Ovis aries: one gene and its partners. The protein of the gene in region 5 interacts with the protein of the main gene of each other region in a biochemical or structural test. Links are inferred from orthologs where the notes say so. Each region holds a gene or a part of one and is shown on either strand. Other genes may lie near its edges. The genes, in order: CENPA, KLHL13, RACGAP1, CDCA8, AURKB and KLHL9.

What was found.
Region 1: of the proteins of AURKB (region 5) and CENPA, one has a biochemical effect on the other in vitro, tested with the Homo sapiens proteins (3 studies listed by BioGRID). The link is inferred for Ovis aries from reciprocal best matches to the Homo sapiens genes AURKB and CENPA.
Region 2: of the proteins of AURKB (region 5) and KLHL13, one has a biochemical effect on the other in vitro, tested with the Homo sapiens proteins (2 studies listed by BioGRID and IntAct, with this or other methods). The link is inferred for Ovis aries from reciprocal best matches to the Homo sapiens genes AURKB and KLHL13.
Region 3: of the proteins of AURKB (region 5) and RACGAP1, one has a biochemical effect on the other in vitro, tested with the Homo sapiens proteins (2 studies listed by BioGRID and IntAct). The link is inferred for Ovis aries from reciprocal best matches to the Homo sapiens genes AURKB and RACGAP1.
Region 4: the proteins of AURKB (region 5) and CDCA8 form a complex in vitro, tested with the Homo sapiens proteins (3 studies listed by BioGRID, with this or other methods). The link is inferred for Ovis aries from reciprocal best matches to the Homo sapiens genes AURKB and CDCA8.
Region 6: the proteins of AURKB (region 5) and KLHL9 form a complex in vitro, tested with the Homo sapiens proteins (2 studies listed by BioGRID and IntAct, with this or other methods). The link is inferred for Ovis aries from reciprocal best matches to the Homo sapiens genes AURKB and KLHL9.

The regions. Positions count from the first base shown.
Region 1 is NC_056056.1:33,923,376-33,927,327, forward strand, and holds the start of CENPA (histone H3-like centromeric protein A), read left to right. Parts: upstream 1-1,152; 5' UTR 1,153-1,269; coding exon 1,270-1,363; intron 1,364-3,952. UniProt on the Homo sapiens protein: Histone H3-like nucleosomal protein that is specifically found in centromeric nucleosomes. Replaces conventional H3 in the nucleosome core of centromeric chromatin that serves as an assembly site for the inner kinetochore.
Region 2 is NC_056080.1:116,536,123-116,540,407, reverse strand, and holds the start of KLHL13 (kelch-like protein 13), read right to left. Parts: upstream 2,801-4,285; 5' UTR 2,645-2,800; intron 2,353-2,644; coding exon of another isoform or gene 2,276-2,352; exon of another isoform or gene 1,891-2,275; intron 1,692-1,890; exon of another isoform or gene 1,624-1,691; intron 59-1,623; 5' UTR 1-58. Other genes in the region: WDR44 (WD repeat-containing protein 44), read left to right, coding at 2,276-2,352. UniProt on the Homo sapiens protein: Substrate-specific adapter of a BCR (BTB-CUL3-RBX1) E3 ubiquitin-protein ligase complex required for mitotic progression and cytokinesis.
Region 3 is NC_056056.1:136,300,577-136,304,076, reverse strand, and holds part of RACGAP1 (rac GTPase-activating protein 1), read right to left. Parts: intron 2,853-3,500; coding exon 2,722-2,852; intron 2,096-2,721; coding exon 1,931-2,095; intron 208-1,930; coding exon 112-207; intron 25-111; coding exon 1-24.
Region 4 is NC_056054.1:12,512,377-12,515,289, reverse strand, and holds part of CDCA8 (borealin), read right to left. Parts: intron 2,269-2,913; coding exon 2,173-2,268; intron 1,067-2,172; coding exon 940-1,066; intron 188-939; coding exon 1-187.
Region 5 is NC_056064.1:27,652,583-27,654,594, forward strand, and holds the end of AURKB (aurora kinase B), read right to left. Parts: exon of another isoform or gene 1,963-2,012; coding exon 1,814-1,962; exon of another isoform or gene 1,142-1,813; coding exon 967-1,141; exon of another isoform or gene 809-966; coding exon 635-808; 3' UTR 501-634; downstream 1-500. UniProt on the Homo sapiens protein: Serine/threonine-protein kinase component of the chromosomal passenger complex (CPC), a complex that acts as a key regulator of mitosis.
Region 6 is NC_056055.1:89,892,476-89,896,596, reverse strand, and holds the start of KLHL9 (kelch-like protein 9), read left to right. Parts: upstream 1-1,321; 5' UTR 1,322-1,851; coding exon 1,852-3,705; 3' UTR 3,706-3,806; intron 3,807-4,121.

The DNA of each region.
Region 1 (3,952 bases), on a different chromosome or scaffold from region 5:
TTGTGGCTATTGTGAATAACACTGCTATGAGCCTTATTGTACAGATACCTGTTCAAGCCTCTGCTTTTTTTTTGGAATGTATATGCAGAAGTGGAATTGCTAGATCATATGGTCATTCTATGTTTAATTTTTTGATCCACTGCCATACTGTTTTCAACTGTGACTGCACCAATGTGCATCCCCACCAACCAGCAGTGAATAAGGGTTCTCTAAGATCACTGATTTTGTAACATTCTTCCTGATTACAGTCACAGGTTACTATAGAACATCTAGGAAATGTAAAACAAACAAACAAAAAAAGCATAATGTAAAACCCCCTTTATTCTAACTGTCTAGTTCTATATTTGCCCTCAAGCATATTATCCCCCAACAGGAAGGGAAGGGATCTTTTCCCTTGGGATGATTCTATTGAAATGCTGGAGCGTATGATCCAAGAAAAGAGCTGAAGACTGCCCTGCTTGATCTTATTGTCAGAGTTCCCATCCTGGCTGTCCCACGACCCTAATCATTAATAGCGTTCAGGATGAGATAGTTGGATGGCATTACCGACTTAATGGACATGAGTTTGAGCAAGGTTCGGGAGTTGGTGATGGACAGGGAAGACTGGCATGATGAAGTCCATGGGCTCTTAGAGAGTCGGACATGACTGAGCGACTGAAATGAACTGAGTTAATGCTCATTTCTGAGTCGCGTTCGTGGGGTGTTCCGGGTGACCCTAGTCTCAGGAGAGGCACAGAATAGTCACATTCTCCTTGGGCCTGTCTCCGAGTCTTTAAAAGCCAATTTAGGATTAATAGAGCAAAACGTAAAATATTTGCGCAAAGTGATTCATCTAGAGAATCGCGTTCCACACACGTACCGTCTACATAGTCAGAATGGAGCTTTCTTTTTACGACCAGAAGCCACGGGACTACCTGGGTCTAATCCATCAAACATGCGGGCTTCTCCGAGCGAGCGGAGGGCGGAGTAGTTCCCGCCTCCTTTCACTTCTTCAAGTCTCTATTGGCTGGTTCCTACCGTCGATCCGCCTCATCCCCGTAGTCTCCTCCTATCACCGCCGCCGTTAGCCCAGGAGCGTTCCGAGGCAGCCAGTGGGAGTCGCTGGATTCGGTTTTTAAAAAACGCCGCCACTGAATTGGCGGCGGCGAGGGCAATTCGAATAGCACCCAGCCGGGGCACGCGGCCGGGACGCCCCGGCCCTCCCAGCCTCTGTCCCCGGACCCAGAAGATCTAGAAGGAGCCGCGGGGCTGCAGCCCTGCTCGCCCGCCATGGGCCCGCACCGCCCGAGACGCAAGCCCGAAACACCAAGGAGGCGCCCCGTGAGCCCGGCTCCCGCCGCCCGCCGGCCGGCCCGGTCCTTAGGTAACCTGCCACGATCCATTTTCCTCTGAGCCGGTCTGCCTACAGCCTGTCTGTGAGGTGGGTACGGACCCAGTCCACGTGCTCATTTCACAGACGAAAAGCTGAGGCTCCTTGCTGATCTGGGATCGAGCCCATTCTCCCAATCCCGGTCCATTCGCCTTCCTCTACAGGGGGCAAAGCAGTTCTGTCCATACGGAAAGTGAAAGTGAAGTCGCTCAGTCGTGTCCGACTCTTTGCGACCCCATGGACTGTAGCCTACAAGGTTCCTTCGTCCAAGGGATTTTCCAGGCAATAGTCCTGGAATGGGTTGCCATTTCCTTCGTCAGGGGATCTTCCCAACCCTGGGATCGAACCCGGGTCTCCCGCATTGTAGACAGACGCTTTACGGTCTGAGCCACCAGGGAAGCTCAGTACGGAAACAAGGTCCAAAACCCGGAGGGGACTGAGGAAAGCAGTTTCGAGGAGGAGAAAGGACTGGCTTAGACATTCTTGATACTAACAGCATGGGTTGACTGCTTACCACTAACTAGGCATTATGTTAAACTCTTTATACGAAGTTACTTAAATTTATATTGTGCCCATTTTACAAATGGCTCAGACAGACCTGCTAACTTGAGCAAGGTCACCCAATCTGTTCCCGCAGACAGGATTTTTTAAAATCAGTGTTTGTGCTTTTTTCAGTCGCAAAATTATTGGCTACTTTTGGTGACAACTTCACAAAAGTTTTGTGACAACAACAGTTCTACTTTTAGAAGGTGCCTGTTTAGGTATTTGGGTGGGTGGGGGGGTGGGGTTTTTTCCCTTCAGTGAGAGGCTGTGTTGGGCCTTAACCAAAGTGCCCTAACTCAACCTGTTCTCTCACCTTGTCCTCTTGCAGAGGTATATGCCTGGAAAGAAGGGTGGTCTGTGGTCCTCAGTTTCTGTGCTGTGGTCTGGGGGATGGGAGACCTAACCATCAGCAACCGCTTTACTTGTCTCCTGCTCCATAGCTAAGAGCAGGGAGAAGAAAGTGTTATCGGTTTTTTGTAGATGTTGCTATAGTGCATAGGATTTTTTTCTTTCCTAAACATAAATAACCTTTGCAGCTAGCGAACTTGCTGAATTCTCTTGTGAATCCTAATAGTCTTTTAGTTGCTTTAGTTGAAATTTTCAAGTGAGCTATTATATTATGGGCAAGTAATGACTTTTGAATCGTTTTTTCATTTTTATACATTTTCTTTCTTATTTTATTGTTACTGAGGCCCTGAGACTAGTGTTGCCATGTGTGTGTTTTCCTCTCTTCCCAGTGACCCTTCAACTCGTTCCAATCCGACTTCTCATAACCACTACCCCTGTGTCTAGTGCCTTTGAACTACTCCTGTCAAGGTCACCAACTACTTTTGTGTTGCCAACTTTATTAGACATGCCTGTGTTCTTCTCTTACCCTGTCTTTCAGAAGCATTCGACACAGTGGGCCATTTCTTCCTCAAAACCCTCCATCCCCCTGACTCCATGATACATACACTCTGTAATTTCTACTCAGTGGTTAGTGCCTGTGCCATCTCTCTTGAGCAAGTTGATGTTGGACTTCCGTGGTCTCCTTTTTCTTTCTTTCCCTTCCCCAGGGGGGCTCATCTCTCCTTTTGACTCCAGTAGGACTTAACACTCTGACAGCTCTCACATACACGTTTAGCTCCAGCCCGGGTCTCGCCTCTGACTCCACATACCTATGTCCTACTAGTGTGACTTTGGGGTATGTCACACTAGTTCAGTTCAGTAGCTCAGTCGTGTCCGACGCTTTGCGACCCCGTGGACTGCAGCACACCAGGCTTCCCTGTCCATCACCAACTCCTGGAGTTTGCTTAAACTCATGTCTATAGAGTTGGTGATGCCATCCAACCATCTCATCCTCTGTCATCCCCTTCTCCTCTGGCCTTCAATCTTTCCCAGCATCAGGGTTTTTTCCAGTGAGTCAGTTCTTCTCCAAACACATCTAAAAGCAAACTTTTGGTTACTCTTCTCCTGCCTCTTCATCCTCAGTTTCCCCCATTTCAGTAAATGGCACAACCTCCCACAGCCAAAAACCTGGAAGAGATTTTTCATTCTATGCCCCATGTCCATCCAATCCAAATGTAAGTTCAGGTACTTCTACTGCTACATCGCATCCTAATCATGCCACTTGTTTCCTTTTCTACTCCCACTAGCCTCATCTAAGCCCCAACCCTAAGCCAGCTATGACATCACTTCTACTCTTGTCCCTTTTCAGTACTTTCCTTACATAGGAGCAGGAGTGATCTTTAAATAAAAGTGTATCAACTCTCCGTCCTGCTTAAAGCTCTTCCGTGGCTTCCCATTACATTAGGATTAAGGTAATGTGTGAAAGAGTTGGCATTTAAATTAAGATCCTCAAAGGATCATCACTGAGGGTCAGTAGGACCCTGAAAGGATCATTTATTCATTGATTTAACCAATATTTATGTAGCACTGATCCACTGTTCTCCAGTTGCTGAAGATGACCACAATGACCGCAATAGACAAAAACCCCTGTTTTGGGGAGCCTGTTTTCTACAGTCTACTATTTGGCTTCCCAGGTAGCACTAGTGGTAAGGA
Region 2 (4,285 bases), on a different chromosome or scaffold from region 5:
GATTGTGAGCTCCCGGGAAACAGGAAGTAAATTGTCGTCTTTGAATTATGCTCAGCACCTAGAACAGAACATGACAGTAAGTTTTAATTTTTAAGGCAAATGTAAATTCACTATTACATAGCTAGGAAGAAAATAAATTCAGGTAGTTTATTTATTTATATCTTTCCATAATCCATAAGGGAAAAAAGCATATCTTTCCTGATTATATGCTAAGGTGCTTCAGTCATGTCCAACTCTGTGCAGCCCTATGGACTGTAGCCCACCAGGCTTCTCTGTCCATGGGATTCTCCAGGCAAGAATACTGGAGTGGGTTGCTATGCCCTCTTCCAAGGGATCTTCCTGACTCAGGGATTGAACCCTGGGTCTCCTGCATTGGCAGGCGGGTTCTTTACCATCAGCACTACCTGGGAAGCCCCTTATAGTGAGCAACAAAATAAAAAGATTGTACTTTGAGATATATTTTTAAACCTAGAAAATTAGCATGTTTAAAACACATAAAAGCTAATAATTGGGTCCACAAATCCCTTCTGTGCACTTCTTAATTACAAAAAGCTCTGGAAGCCAAACATTTTTGTTTTGTATTTTTAGTGACTTATTTGACAGTCAACTTAGTCTAACCTAAACTTATCTGACAGTAGTAGCTGACCTGAACTGAAGGTGGCTACTTACTAGTGTTTATCTACCGCTTATGAATAATCATAAGGTTTGCTGCAAGAAATACTACCCTATTTGATTATGCAGCATTTGCCCTCAACTCCCTAGGGTGTTAAAGAATACATAGTATATGGCATTCGGTTTTACACAAACTCGCCAGACAACCCCAGGTCTTTTCCTGGTAGCTTTCCACGTAGGAATCTAGAATCCCATTCCAGCCTCTCTGAGGCCATGACCCCGGTCCCAGTTGCTTTTCTGCCGCCATCTTGAGCAACAATTGTGCAAACAGCTCCGAGTGCCTTCCTGTCATGGCAGTTGGAAAAATAAATGTTTCCCGATTATATATAAAGTCAGCCTTATCACTTTGATGGTCAATGATGCGTTAACAAAGAACATCTTAGTCTTTTATAAGCACCTTTCTATTTTCATCACTGGACACGGCAGTTGAGGATCAGAATTAAGTTACAAACTCTTATCCTTGCAACGGAATCTGCTCAATATATTTACCATTTGACTGATGCACATATTGACCAGTATGTAAGAATTTCTCTCCCGTTAAGTGTGGGCAACAATAGTTATCTGTAAAGAGAAAGTAACCGGAGGCCCTACAGTGGCTCGGCTCCAGCAACAAATCCATCATTACTCCATCGAACTGGCACACTCCCCACTATCTCTCCTGGACCCCACCCTCTGGCCAGCAGGATCCTATCTAGAGATCTCAATTAGAGATCTTGTACTAAATAGCACAGGTTATGCCCCATAACGCTAGAGGAGGTGGACCCGCCTACTCCCTAGGGTTTGGGAATCTGGGCTTGGATAAATTAAATCGACGAAAATTTAAACCACAATGCCAACTTATCCCGACACCATTTCCTCATAAGAAAAACAGCAAACTCCAAATCACCCCTCTAAAAATGCCTCTGTTTAGAATTGCAGAGTTAGAGAATGGGACACTCTGCCGGACCCCACCTACATCAGGCGCGCTCCCACAAAGTCGGGGGACCGCGTCGCTCAGGCGTAGGCTCTAGACTCCTCCCCTCAGAACACTCATCCCCACCCTTCCCCACTACTTCCGGCCCTCACCGAACGCCCTCAACGGCGCTTGCGCCGTTTTGATAGGCTTCTAGAGTACAAAAAATCTGAGCTCTGCCTCTCAGGAACCGCCCCCGCCTCCTCTTCGCCCCACCCACGCCCCACCGGCCCCTCCCGAAATCTCGCGAGGGTAGGTGCGCGTCCGTGTTTTTCGGGCAACTGGCTCTCCCAGCAGCTGTAATTGCTGCTGCGGGAGATATTGGAGCTGCTGTCGTCCGCGCGCCCGCCCTCCCCCACTGAGGAGAGCCACCGCCTCTTTCGCTCTCTTCGCACACCTATCGCCGGGAGCGGCGGCAGCAACAGTCCACCGCCGCCTCCTCAGACGGCCGCTCTGCCGGTTATTGCCTCAGTCCGGCACTTGCCGGCAGCCCCCTGTCCAGCTCCTCTCTTCAGATCGTCTGCTCCCTCCTCATCCTCCCCGGGACCCACCTCCCCACGGTTCGCCGGTGTGGAGGACGACGAGGAGGAGACGAGAGTCACCCTCCCTCCAGGCGGCGCCGGCCCCCTCACCCGCGGGTGTGTCCTATAAATGGCGTCGGAAAGCGACACGGAGGAATTCTTTGATGCCCCTGAAGATGTGCACCTTGAGGGCGGCGACCCTACCGGGTAAGTAGCCCTGGCCCAGAAGCCAGGCGTCCCCGTCTCCTGGCTTCCCCTGTGCCTTCCCCCCTACACCCCTTCCAGGTCCCGTCGCCGCAGCCCCTCCGTCTCCCTCGGCTACTTCAGAGTGAGTTCCGGGGAGGGCAATCGCCCACCTCGGGCAAACCCCGCTCTTGGCCCTGGTAAACGGCCCCCGGGCTTCTCTCGGAGCCGCTTTCTCTTGTCCAGCTTTCTGCGAGGTGGGACAGTTTACGAGCTCGAGAACCAGAGATGTGTATTTGAGGGTTTCAGAGCTTACCTTGAAACATCCGTTTTGGCCTTGGGGGCCATAGATTAAAGGAGCGGTAACAGGAATTGCAGTGACGGGTTTTTTTCCTTCTTTTGCCGCTAACTTACCTATCCGATTCAGAGGTGTCTCTACTTCTCCCTATTTGCTGTCCTCTTTTGGTTGCACAAAAAGAAAAGGAGCGGAGCGAGGGGAGGGGGAAGACTGGGTGTTTACTTAGGAAAGTCCTCTAGCTGATGTACTCGAGATCCACGGTGTTTTATCAAAATAACATCTTGCCATGAGGCAGAGGAAATCGAAGACGAGGTCCTTTACAATTAGCGAGACTGCGGTCTTAAAAGAGTTGCCGTACAGAAATGTGTACAACCGACTACAGTGATACAAACAAGTGCTGAGTAATCTGTGGTTGGAAGGAGAGCCACAGCTTTGTGCTCTTTATCTAATTCTGCAAAATGTTTTAGTGGTGATTAATAGGGAGATTCTGAGTAGGAACTACAGTAGTTGGAATGCTTCGCTTGCCTGGGACTTCTACTGACCCACTCCCGACTCTTCCGAGTTGGAATAATGTTTAAAGCGAGTTCACCGAACTCCTCTACTGGTCTTGTGTGGCACTAGAGGCAGTGAAATACATTTTCGTGCTATAGGAACTTGAAAATGGGTAAAATTTGTCATGTTACTGTAAAAGTCACTAATATGGTTCCAAAAGTCAGCTGCCTTCAATTTGCAAGCTTACCCGTGGAAGAAATACCTTAATGCAAATTAATATTATCTGTACATTCTAGAAGTCGTTCTAAAACTGAATAGGTATTATATATAATATGTACCCCAAAAGTTACAGCGACAAAAGCAGAGAAAATGTATGTTGGTAGGTCGTTAATGAGTGTGTTTCCACCAACCTTCAAATCACTAGTATAGGATTTGAAGGTTGGCAATGGCCAATCTTGAGATGGCATTGAATCTCCTTTAACTTCACAAATTCACAGCTAGATGGTAGAGGATAGAAAATTCACTTGGATTTCCAAGTATATAGGAGTCCTGTGAAATTAAATTTTGTCTTCCTGGTATTCCCCTTAAAGTAATCATATGATTTAATAAATTTAGAGCTGTATGAGTATTGTTTCTTTTCAATGAATGTAGCATTTAATTTTGACGAACAGCTACATCAGGACCTGTGTAAACTGCCTAGTAGTCCAGTACCTGGCAGAAAGATCTCCAGTGTTCATTCCTTCTCCTTCCTTTCTTGTAATTAGCAAATTTAACTTCACAGGGTGCTTACTTTGGGAGGAAGTATGCACAACTTGGAGTTATTTAACTTATCTAAACTGAATGAGTCATTTTGATAGAATTGCTAGTCACTTCTTCCCTCCTGGGATAATAAACTTCTCAAGCACTATGATCCTTTGATATGCTAGGTAAAAAGTAAAAACATCTCTTAGGACCCAGCCTTCTGATTTTAACTCTAACCTGCCCAAATATTGAGGATGTTGAGCTCTATGGGCAAAACTACTGTCAGTCTATGAATTTCAAGGCTCCATCCTGCATTATTGAGGGGCTTTCGAAGGAAATTAAACTCTACCTGTGTAAATTTAATCAGGAGAATTTAATCTGAAAAGAACTAGCAGTACTGAGAGGACTGCACAAGGTTGGCATTAT
Region 3 (3,500 bases), on a different chromosome or scaffold from region 5:
GCCTGAGATCCGATACAGGCCTGTCTGTTATCAAGATGACATTTTCAGTTAAAAACCTCTTAATTACTGATGCAAATAACAAACTCACCCTCTCCAAGGATGGACTCTTACCTCAGTCAGTCCTCTTTGCTCAATCTCATTTACACAGTGGACAACAATTGACGGTATCATTGGAGAAGTCTGGGACACATAATCTGCCAGCATTCCCTGAAAAAGGTGAGTTTAAAGTTATTATTTATACCACTTAGACTAGCAGATGAAGGCCAATGGGAAGAGCCATCCCCAGACTAATACTGAGGCTGGGACACCATGCCTACTTTAAAATTCCTCTTCCCAAAGCATAAATAAGACTAGAGCCGCTCAATTATTCTTCCTACCTCTACACCAGGACTGATTTATGGTCACATGTACCACACTCTCACATGAACAAGTAATAAGATCACTGGCTACAACTCCACCCCTGCTCCTCTTACAGTCAAGGGCATCAGAAAGAAAGCAATAATGAGATTACAGGTGTGGAGTGTAATATAAACTAAGTTATTACTCTAAAAAATCTGTTCTATCCTGTAATTACTCTTAGTAAGAAAAATTATTTAATACAACTCAGTTGACTATGACACACACTGATCTGTAGGAGAGAACTCCGTGGCTCTATAGTACAGAAAATCTGTAAAAAAAACTACATGCATGGATAAAAATTCTTAAGATTAAAGGACTTCCCTAGTAGTACAGTGGATAAGAATCCACCTCCAGTGCAGGGGACATGGGTTTGATCCCTGGTCTGGGAAGATTCCACATGCCACAGAGCAACAAGGCCCACGCGCCACAACTGCTGAGACTTACGGGCCTAAAGTCTGTGCTCCACGAAGAAAGAAGCCCGTGTACCACAACAAAGAGTAGGCCCACTCACTGTCAACTAGAGAAAGCCCTCGAGTAGCAACAAAAACCCAGAACAACCAGAAAAAAAATAAAGATTAAATGGGAATCATGCACTAAAAGAAAAAAAAAAGATTAAAGAAAAGTAATATTTGATTTGCTGGAGGCTGAGTAGCAGCTCAATCATTTTGTTTTGATTCTTGCTAATGTTGCTTCTAACAATAATTTCTTAATGAATTGAATCAAATTTTAGAAATGAATCTAATCTTAACAGCCTAGTATGGAATATCTCCAACATAAGATAAAGAATATTCAAAGATGAAATTATATCATGGCTGGGATTTGCTTCAAAATAATTCACTGAACAGGGTCAGGAGAAGATGGAGGTATTAACAAATCAAGACTGGACATGAGTCAGGGATCATGAAAGCTGAATGATAAGATATGAATGATAAGAATGATAGGGGTTAGTTACACTCATCTCTCTACTTTTGTATATGTTTGAAATTTTACAAAAGTAGATGGGATGGGGATGGGAAGGAAGAGAAGAATAGGAAGCGAAAGGAGGGAAGGGAGAAGGAAAAAGCAAGAAAATAAGGAAAGGGAGGGAAAGAGGAAGAGGAAGGGAGGGGAAGAAAAGGAAGAAGAATTTGGTTTAGAAAAGCTACTAATCAGACAGACAAACCCAAACAGGATTCTTCAAGTTAACATTTTATAATTTCTATTCACTATTTGAGGGAGGAAATGTACATGGCGTCAATAATTTTTGAAAAAAATGACCATAAGCTTTTAAAGGGCTTCTCTGGTGGCTCAGAGGTAAAGAATCCACCACGACACAGGGTCTATCACTAGGCTGGGAAGATCCCCTGGAGGATGGTATGGCAACCCACTCCAGTCTTCTTCCCTAGAGAATCCCCACAGACAGAGGAGCCTGGCAGACTACGGTCCATGGGGTCACAAGGGGTTGGACAGACTGAAGCGTCTGAGCACAGAGGCTTTTTAAAAGCTAACAAAGTCATAACACAGTGAGGGCTCCCACAGGTCATATACATACTTCTCCAATCTTGACAGGTGTCCCTGTCAGGGTAGGAATACAGGGAAGCGGACAGCGGTCCCGACATTCTGGATGAGAGACCACACGACAGTCTCGACACTTCAGAGACAGCTTGCCAAATTTTATTCGCTTTCCACATGGTACACAAGATTCGGGTTTAATAACCTGAGGATGAAACAGGGAATGGTATGAATTAGAACATTTATCATCAATCAACATTTATTAAGCACTTAGCATGTGCCCAATAGCTTTCTCATCCCTTTACACATATTTTTTACTTGTGTAATTCTCACAATAATCCTATAGGGTTTTTTTTTTTTTTTTAAGATAAGGAAACAAGCAAAAAGAGGCTAAGTAATTTGCAAAGGGATCACCATACACTAGTGGAAAGAAACTGCTGGCAAGGAGTCAGAAAACCTCTATGTTAAACTCTGCTACTTACTGTCCTGTGGCTCAAACAAGTCAGTTAAGGCCTCTGTGCCCCTGTCAGTTTGCTTGGATTTTTACCAGAAATCAAATGGGACAAAGTTAAGGCGTGCCATATTCAAGCATGAACTGTAAATACATATCATGATAAAGCAAACACTGCTTCTGAAAAGTTGCTTTCTTTTACTATCACTCACAGAATGGAAAGATACACACCCTCTCTAACCCTGGAGAGGGGGATGAGGAGGAAGGAAATTTGACATTTAACTTTACAACACTAAATATTTAAATTTGTGATTAGCAAATATTACGCCCACCGTTAAAAAATTAGATGTGTCCCAAAGCAGCAGCAGCCCCAGCTTTACCGTCTTAGAGACGAAGTCGTGCAGGCGCATCCCCCCATTGCTCTGCGGAGTGCTGGAGCCGTCTGTTTCGGTTTTTGGCTCTGGCTGCCTGCTGCTCAATGTGGAGTCACTGTTCCAAGGCTGTAAAGTACCTAGAAAACAGACAACTCCAAGCTTTGTGTCTTAGATGTTTCGTTCCTTCTGAATTTTTTTTGCCGCACCCTGTGGTTCATGAGACTTAGCTCCTCAACCAGGGACTGATCCCAGGGTCCTTGGCAGTCAGAGTGCGAAGTCCTAACCACTGGACCGCCAGGTAATTCTCCCGTCTGAATTTTAACCCCAATTCTAATATAACCAGTAGGGACTTCCCTGGCAGTCCAGTGATTAAGAATCTCCCTTCCAGTGCCAGGGGACATGGAAAAGAAATATGTCTTCCATGTTGGGAAACATCCCACATGCTACAGGGGAACTAAATAGCCTGTGAGCCACAACCAAAGAAACGTGCACGCCACAACAAAGATCCTGAGTGCCGCAGCAAAGATCCGACACAGCCAAATACACAATATAACTAGTAGATAACCAGGAGTCTATAACACCCAGAAGTGAACTATGCAACACAGTTTCCAGAGAGACAAGCTACACACCAGCGGTGTAGGTCAGGCTAGCAAGCCAAAGCAGGGCATGACAAAACAGGGCTCTGTCCCCCAGTAAGAAGCAGTACAGTGAACGACCTGAAACATCCAGCCCCTGACTCATGAGGGTTCTAAGAAACCAGTTCTCCCCGGATTTCACCAGTTGTT
Region 4 (2,913 bases), on a different chromosome or scaffold from region 5:
GTAAGTGTAAAGCAGTAGCCCAGACCCAAAAGGCGAGCCTAAGAATGGCTAAACCCAGAAGGCTCCACCCTGTGTGTGGAGAGGAGCATGAATGACTTACGGAGAGCTTCTTAATGTTTCCCAGGGCCTCTGGATCCAGCTGGGCAATATCGATCCTCTGCAAGTCACTGGCCAATAACCGCATGCTCTGTGGGGAGGGGAGAGGGTTAAAGTGGCTGGTCCCTCAGAGCAGGAACCTCTGCCAGCAGCCCAGGGTGCCCTGGGGGTCCCCTTGATATCCTGCACTTGTGGGGGGTGGTGGCAAGGCAGGCAGGAGGGGTGTGAGTCCCAAGGAGACAGTGATGTTGGCGTTTATCACTGGGTCAGTGGCTGGATCAGCTGAAGACAAGGGGTGCACGTTCGCTTAGAAATGCCCTGCAGACCTCACGTAAGATAAACCATCCCCTCCGTCCCCGAGCGGAGGTCAGCAACTTGCTCTGTTCTGCCTGCTTCAGACTCCTCAGAATTACACCAAGTGGAAGACCCTCATGCTGCCCTTTCTGGACTAAGCATGCACCCTGACAGTGCCCTCCTTTGCACACCCTTTAAAATCTCCTTCACTGCACATATCGCATGCTATGTTATTAACTGGGAGCCTAGCTTGACTACTGACCGCTACTCGAGGGCAGGAATGTCTTCCACATCTGCTATTAATACAAGATACGTGGGCCTATGTTAGCTGATGAGCAAATGGAACGCAGAGCTGGGCAAGAATCCTCCCAGGCTGGAGCTCTACCCTGGGAGAGGAAGTGGTTCTGAGTCCTACGGAAGTGTGGAGATGACGAGCCAGGCAACCAAAGGACTTTGGGTTCCGGGAGAGAGGTGGGTGATGGACAAGAGAAAGAAATGGTGAGTAAGCTGCGCAAAGTGGCCCGACCCACCCCTCCCTGGAACACTCACCTCTCCGCCTCCCACTGGCACAGTGAGGAATATCTCTTTGCTGTCGGCGAGAGGGCTGCCGTTCACAGAGACATTGTAAATCCGCTCTCTGGCCGCTGGAGTACGCAGGCCCGGGGTCTTGAAGATCCTATAAAGTGGGGAAATGTCTGTAAAGATGGCTTGGCAGATTGAATGACACCAGGCGCTATGAGCCCTTCCAAACTCCATCTGGCCTCAAGCTGCAGTTTTCAAATCACATTTCTAAGAAGGCACGTTCTAAATTTAGGGTTAAAAAGCAGTAATGACTCAACACAGCTGGATAAAGGAGGCTGTAATTATCAAACATACATCTAGCAAAAGTAAATTCTTATCCATGTAAATTTTAGGTCCAGAGCTCCATACGGAGAGCAGTCACCCACCCATCCATCCACCCACAAGGCCAGAAATAAATGCTGGCTAATATATTTCTAAGAGTGGCTATGTGCTTCCATCAGAAATTTTCCAGGGTCAAAGGAGGATGGTTCAGTGATGACATCATTATGTTAATTCCCAAACTGACTTTCTTGAGATCTTTAAAGTGCTTCCATCTCTTTTTCCCTAAATGTCCTTTGCTATATACTCATGCAAAAAAAAAAAAGTTAAGGAGGAGTGAGAATTAGAAGTAGAAGGTAGGTCTTCCTCCCTCTCCCACTCCAGAGACAAGCATGCCCAGTTCCTGACGCATCCCTCCAGAAACTATCAAATGGGATCGTCTGGGGCGTGCTGCTCTGCCGCCTGTGTGGAGAGGCTCCTGACCATGAGGCTCTTCCCATCAGCACATGCAGAGCCGCTTATTTTTTAATGGCTACACAGCATCTGCTATCCAGTTGACCAGCACTGTAGAAGGGATTAATTTATGCTGTAAGAACATCCTTAGTTATATTGGTCTCCCAAAAGGTGGTGTTAATTTTCACTCCTACCAAGGGTATGGGAAGAGTACCTACCAACTTAAAATAAACTTAATCAGAATCAGAAAGGACCGAAATAGTCACTAGAGGCCTCCAAGTCATCAGGGACAGACTGGTCTCCTCCCTCTCATCAGATAAACAATCATTTTGCCACTGAAAACAGGTGAACCTGCTCTCAGGGGAGAGGCAAACATTAGGAAACGCTCCTGAGTGAGGCTTTCCAGTATTTTCTTAAATACTCTTCTCTTCTGACAAATGTCAAGTACTGGGCTCCCACCAAAATCCAAGCGCTGCTGCCAGTACTCACCTTGAGTCAAACCTGGGTGTCAGGCCCGGAGTTGGTTTCACCAGCGACAACTCCAGTCGGCCCACAGCTGGGGTAACGGTGGCATAATGGCTTGACCTACGGGAAAGACACAGCCATTAGGTGCACCAACTCTCAGGTCCAGTGACTACAGCGTATAAGCAGGTAACACTGAGCATGTCGGAGCCTGTCCTGGGCGCCTTCCACACATTAGCTCATGCAGCCTCTTCGCCACCCTGTGAGACGCACCATTATCCTCATTTCCAGATGCAGAAACTCGGGGACATTAGGGCAGAGCCAGAACCCTGAACCCAGGCAGTCTGCCTCCAGAATCTGACTTCTCAGTCAAGCTAAGGGAACGAGAGGAAGGAGACAGCCCCTCTGCACCCTGTAGGCCCCCTAGCTGGAGCTCCTGTCCTCTAGCCAGACAGCTCCCACTGCCCAGGGAGAAGAGAGAGGAGCTCACTCTTCACAGACACGCTCCAGTGACTCCTTTCCTGAGCTCATTAAGAGGCAGCCCCTCCCCCACCCTCCCAGCATAAGAAATTCAAGTCCATGGTGATTCATTGCTTAGCAGGACCAGGAGGAATTTTTCAAGAAACTAGCCACAGGTAGGTGATAGCCACTTTGTGACTAACCATGTGGGTAGCTCTACACACGGATTGTCTGGCAACTGAACAAAATATGCAGTGCTTACTGTTATGTTTCTGTGTCTTATTCATCTCCCTGTTTGCATTTTAAAAA
Region 5 (2,012 bases):
AAGCATCATACATAGCAGTGAAACTATGGGAACAAGTTTCCCATAGGTCAGGAACAAGACACCATCAGCTTCTATTTACTCCTGTGCTAAATCCTCACCAGAGCAGAAAAACAAAACAAGAAGACAACTTTAATTGCTCCTAGGTCAGCAAGACTGACCCAGGAAAGGGAAAGATTAGAGGTCAACTAAGAGGGAGTAATAGAAGGTGGGTGGAGATGGTTGGTGATGGCTGATGTGCAGGCATAGCAGAGTAGAGCCAGGTCCCCAGCATCCCCAGGCCTGGGAGCCAGAGCAGGGGAAAGGAAAGATGTGGAAGTAGGATGGTTGGGAGCTGACCAGATGAGGTTAGAGCTGAGAGGTTGCTCTCAGTGCTGAGGGGTGTTCCCAGGGGTGATGATGCAGTGCCCACCCCACTGCCCAGCATGGGCAACTCCCTCGCCTCCTCCCCATGGGTGATGACTTCCTTCACAGCAGTCTCCACATGTAAACATCTACACTCATCAGTACAAAAAGCTTCAGCCTTTATTAAATAAAGAGGAGGTAGAAGACAGATGCAGAAACAGACTTGGGACCCCCCTCCTCCTGGCTACACATATACAGACACAGACACAACTGAGAAAAGGACAGGGACATTTCAGGGGACAGACTGAGGGGCAGAGGGAGGCAGCACCCTGCGAGAGTGGGCTCGGACCCAAGGGTGGGCAGAGACCTGGGCCAGCGGCAGGCGTTCTGAGGGGTTATGCTTGAGCAGCTTGGAGATGAGGTCCTGGGCTCCCATGGGCACAGAAGGAGGGAACTTTAGGTCCACCTGCAAGAAGGAGAGACAGGCTTCATCCTAGCTGCTTTTGCCTCCACTTCCCACTCTATTAGCAGGGTTTAACATCAACAGCAACAGTGTGCCCACTCCCTGCCCCAGCCCCTGAGCTGGCACAAACTCCAGCCAGACCCCGGGGGCCAGCCTCCCACCTTGACAATGCGCCGGTACGTCTCATTGTGGGAAGCACTCTCGAAGGGCGGGTTTCCCACCAGCAGCTCGTAGCAAAGCACGCCGATGCACCACAGGTCCACCTTCTCATTGTGCGTGCGCCCCTCAATCATCTCTGGGGGCAGGTAGTCCAGAGTGCCGCACATTGTCTTCCTCCTGGGGTGGGGCGGGGGAAGAGGGGGAGTGGGCAGGGATCTCAGATCCAGACTTTCCCTCCTTTCCCTGCAGCCTGACAGGGAGCCCAGACCGACCACAGGATGTGCCAGGGGTCTTCCAACCAGGCTCTGATGGGGTCTTTGGGGTAGGAGTGGGGCTAGCACACTGACTCTGCATTTCCACACTGAGGGCCGTACCTTAAAATAAATCAGATATGAGGGCAACGTTCACCTTAGAATTATAGGAAGAATTTCAGATGTTCATCAATCACATGTTGCTTAATCACATTACATTTCTACTGTGCAATACTATGAAGCCACTAAAAATGATGTGGGAGTATTCTCAGTGATATGGCAAGAAGGTCCCATTGTTTCAAGTGAGAAATCTGAGTGACAAAACTGAGACTCCTATTTTTGTTTTTGGCCACGCTGCACGGTTTGCAGGATCTTAGTTCCCTCGACCAGGGATTGAACCTGGGCCCCCTGCAGTGAAAGCTGGAGTCCTAACCACTGGACCAGCAGGGAACTCCCAAAGTCTCCTATTTTTGTAAAGATATTGCTGTGTCTATATATTTACATGAGAACAACCCAAAATGTCTCTGGGTAACAAGATCTGAAGTGGTTTTATTTTGAATGGCTTCATACCCAGGGCTGGCCTTCTGGCCCACCATACCTCAGGGAGGGGGCATGCACCGACCAGCCAAAGTCAGCAATCTTCAGCTCACCCCGGAGCCCCAAGAGCAGATTCTCTGGCTTGATGTCTCTGTGAATCACCTTCTTTGCATGGCAGTACGTCAGAGCATCTGCCAGCTCCTCCATGATCTGGGGGGCCAATGGCAGACAGTCAGAAGAGGACTGACCTCAGGCGGCAA
Region 6 (4,121 bases), on a different chromosome or scaffold from region 5:
TTGCCCTGGAGATAGCATTTCACATACTCTGGGAAGCTGCTCCAAAGAGGTAGAGGGGTGGTTGGTATATATGTGATTTTAGTGAAGAGAGGGGTATATGCAATCAAGCATGTTTTTTTGCAGAAGGTTTTGCTAGTCACGAGGGAGCAGATATCACCATGAAGGAATTTAGTGCTTTTCTAGATATGAGGAGATGCAAAAATTGTGCTCCTAAAATCAGCTCCTGAAAATATCTATCTGAAGACCTGTTCTGCCAGTTTTTCCAGAGCACAAGAGTGCCTCCTTTCTGATCTCCACTCTGAACACCCATCAGGTGGTGTTGAAGGTCAGCAGCTACAACAGCAGGAGAGATTTATTCAATCCTTGTAGAGGTAGATGGCAAGTGCCAATGAAAAGTGCCAATATGTAGTTTTTCAAAACATCTCTGGTGACAATATTTTGCAAAAAACTTTGTATGTCTTCAAGCAGCATTCTAACATTAGGATTTATCCCAAAATGGGAAGTTTTGTGCTCGGAGTCTGTAACATTGGAGAACAACGAAGTATATATTCAGGAACAAATGACAATTGTCTATCCATTTAAAAACTTGTGAGTGGAAAACAAAAGCACGAAAAATTTACTGATGGAATTCTGCTGCATGGCAAAAATTCAGCCTATATTATTTACATAGCATGGTCATAATTTGGTATTTTAAGAGAGGCAAATAACCTGTTTTAAATGATTAAAATCTGAAAATATGTACCCAGAGTTATACTTGAACTGTCTATTAAATTGTGTGGGATAGGTTTTTTGTTGGTTTTTTTTTTGGTTGAGGAGTTTGAGGGATCTTGGTCTGCAGCCAGGGTTTGAACCCTGGCCACAGCAGTGAAAGTGCCGAGTCCTAACCACTGACCTGCCAGAACATTCCCAGTGTGGGATAAGAATTAATAAAGTTTGTTTTTTATAGAGGAAAACTAAAAGCATCTTTCCCCTAAGGAAGCCTTCTGCCAGGTTTCAGCTTCCAGAAAAGCTGCATTTCATTGTTATCCAAAAGGCAGAAGCCAAGAAATGTAAATCTCGAAGTATTCATTTAGAGGAACAGCTCAGCTGCAGTGAAAGAGTTATATTAAAAATAATATCCGGGCACCCATTCCTATTTAATAATACCACATACAAAGTATCCCGAAGACACCCCGCTGGCCCACCCAGCACAGCTCTGCGCGACCCAAACCCCGCCTGCTCGAGGCACGGCCCACATCCTCCCATCCCCCACACAAGCCCGCCTACTGGCTAGGTCGGGCGGCTGCGCAGCCGCAGTAGCTGCCACGGCCGCTCCTAGCCCGGGGGATCCTGGGACGAGGCCTTTCCGGAAGGACCGGCTCGGCGTTGGGAGCTCGGCCCGTGTTCCAGGCCCAGGCTCGTGTTCCAGGTCCTTGCTCCAGGACGGGCCGGTAGCCGCGGCGACGCTCAAAGGGCGGCGGAGGGCGCGGCGGGCCGCTCTCTGAGGTGCCGGCCCTCGCCGTCGAGCGAGACGCCGGGCCGCAGGACGTGGCGGCACCTCCCCCTTAGCCCGGAGCAGAACTGCGGGAAGAGCAGCGCAGGCCGGACCAGGTGAACCGGGTCACTTAACTGCCTCAGGTGATGAATCATCTACATAGTAGTCAGATTTGAGGTCCACAGCCCTCTGTGGGCCAGCTGCAGAACAATTTTCAATGTGGGACTATTGTGTTCTGAGGCGTGCTGCAGTGACAGTTTGCCCTTGATAAGGAAAGCGAGCTCTCTTGCTCTTGGGACATCCTCGTTTCCTTTAAAGCTTTCCGGTCGTAACCTCTTTGTCCGGCATACATCTTTGTGCAAGAGGAAGGCGTTCACATGAAAGTGTCTCTTGGTAACGGTGAAATGGGCGTCTCCGCCCATTTACAGCCTTGCAAGGCAGGAACCACACGTTTTTTTACCAGCAATACTCACAGTTCGGTGGTACTGCAAGGTTTTGATCAACTTAGAATAGAAGGATTGCTTTGTGATGTGACTCTGGTGCCAGGTGATGGAGATGAAATCTTCCCTGTTCATAGAGCTATGATGGCGTCCGCTAGTGATTACTTCAAGGCTATGTTCACAGGTGGAATGAAAGAACAGGATTTAATGTGCATTAAGCTTCACGGAGTGAACAAAGTTGGTCTGAAGAAAATTATTGATTTTATTTATACTGCAAAGCTTTCTCTTAATATGGACAATCTTCAGGACACTCTTGAAGCTGCCAGCTTTTTGCAAATCTTGCCTGTTTTAGACTTCTGTAAAGTGTTTCTTATTTCAGGAGTCTCTTTAGATAACTGTGTTGAAGTTGGACGAATTGCTAACACCTACAATCTTATAGAAGTAGATAAATATGTCAATAATTTCATTCTGAAGAATTTTCCTGCCTTACTGAGTACTGGAGAGTTTCTAAAACTCCCTTTTGAACGGCTTGCCTTTGTGCTTTCTAGCAATAGCCTTAAGCACTGTACTGAACTTGAGCTCTTTAAGGCTGCCTGTCGCTGGCTAAGGTTGGAAGATCCTCGGATGGATTATGCTGCAAAATTAATGAAGAATATTCGATTTCCACTGATGACACCACAGGATCTCATCAATTATGTGCAGACAGTAGATTTTATGAGAACAGACAATACGTGTGTGAATTTGCTTTTGGAAGCTAGCAATTACCAAATGATGCCATATATGCAGCCAGTGATGCAGTCAGATAGAACCGCCATTCGATCTGATTCGACACACTTGGTTACATTAGGAGGAGTTTTGAGGCAGCAGCTGGTTGTCAGTAAAGAATTACGGATGTATGATGAGAGGGCTCAAGAGTGGAGATCTTTAGCCCCCATGGATGCTCCTCGTTACCAGCATGGCATTGCTGTCATTGGAAACTTTCTTTATGTAGTTGGTGGTCAAAGTAATTATGATACAAAAGGAAAAACTGCTGTTGATACAGTTTTCAGATTTGATCCTCGATATAATAAATGGATGCAGGTTGCATCATTAAATGAAAAGCGCACATTTTTCCACTTGAGCGCCCTCAAAGGACATTTGTATGCTGTTGGTGGGCGAAGTGCAGCTGGTGAGCTGGCCACTGTAGAATGTTACAATCCAAGAATGAATGAGTGGAGCTATGTTGCGAAAATGAGTGAACCCCACTATGGCCATGCTGGAACAGTGTATGGAGGCTTAATGTATATTTCAGGAGGAATTACTCATGACACTTTCCAAAATGAGCTCATGTGTTTTGACCCTGATACAGACAAATGGACACAGAAGGCTCCAATGACAACAGTCAGAGGTCTGCATTGCATGTGTACAGTTGGAGACAAGCTCTATGTCATTGGTGGCAATCACTTCAGAGGAACAAGTGATTATGATGATGTTCTAAGCTGTGAATACTATTCGCCAACTCTTGACCAGTGGACACCAATTGCTGCCATGTTAAGAGGTCAAAGTGATGTTGGAGTTGCTGTCTTTGAAAATAAAATCTATGTCGTAGGTGGATATTCTTGGAATAATCGTTGTATGGTAGAAATTGTCCAGAAATATGACCCAGAAAAGGATGAGTGGCATAAAGTTTTTGACCTTCCAGAGTCACTTGGTGGCATTCGAGCTTGTACTCTCACAGTTTTTCCACCTGAAGAAAATCCTGGGTCACCTTCCAGAGAATCACCTCTTTCAGCACCTTCAGATCATTCTTAGGACCAAGGTGTAAAACCTTTGCAGTGCATCAAGGATGATCCCGTAATTCCCCTTCAGTTGTATCTTCTTACAATGATTGGTACAGTTATTAGATTAAAAAGGTAATTGATGTTATTTGTATTGTTTGGCTTAGTATGTTTATCAAATGGTTAACAACTGTATTCTGCAAATGTATGTGTTCAACATAGCTATTTTAACAAATGTAAAAAGCAGAAAAATTGTTAGATATCTTTTTGTGGTGTTGTGTAAGGCAGAGTGTAGGTGATTGAAGTAAATGTATAATTATGTTCATTATGCTTCAAAGTTGAAAGTTTTCATCTTTGACTACAAGACATCAAAGGGAGGATGCCTACTATAACCTAAAATAATAAACAAAAAAGGTCGTCAAGCCTTATTAGCTGCTTCCCTTTTTTCAT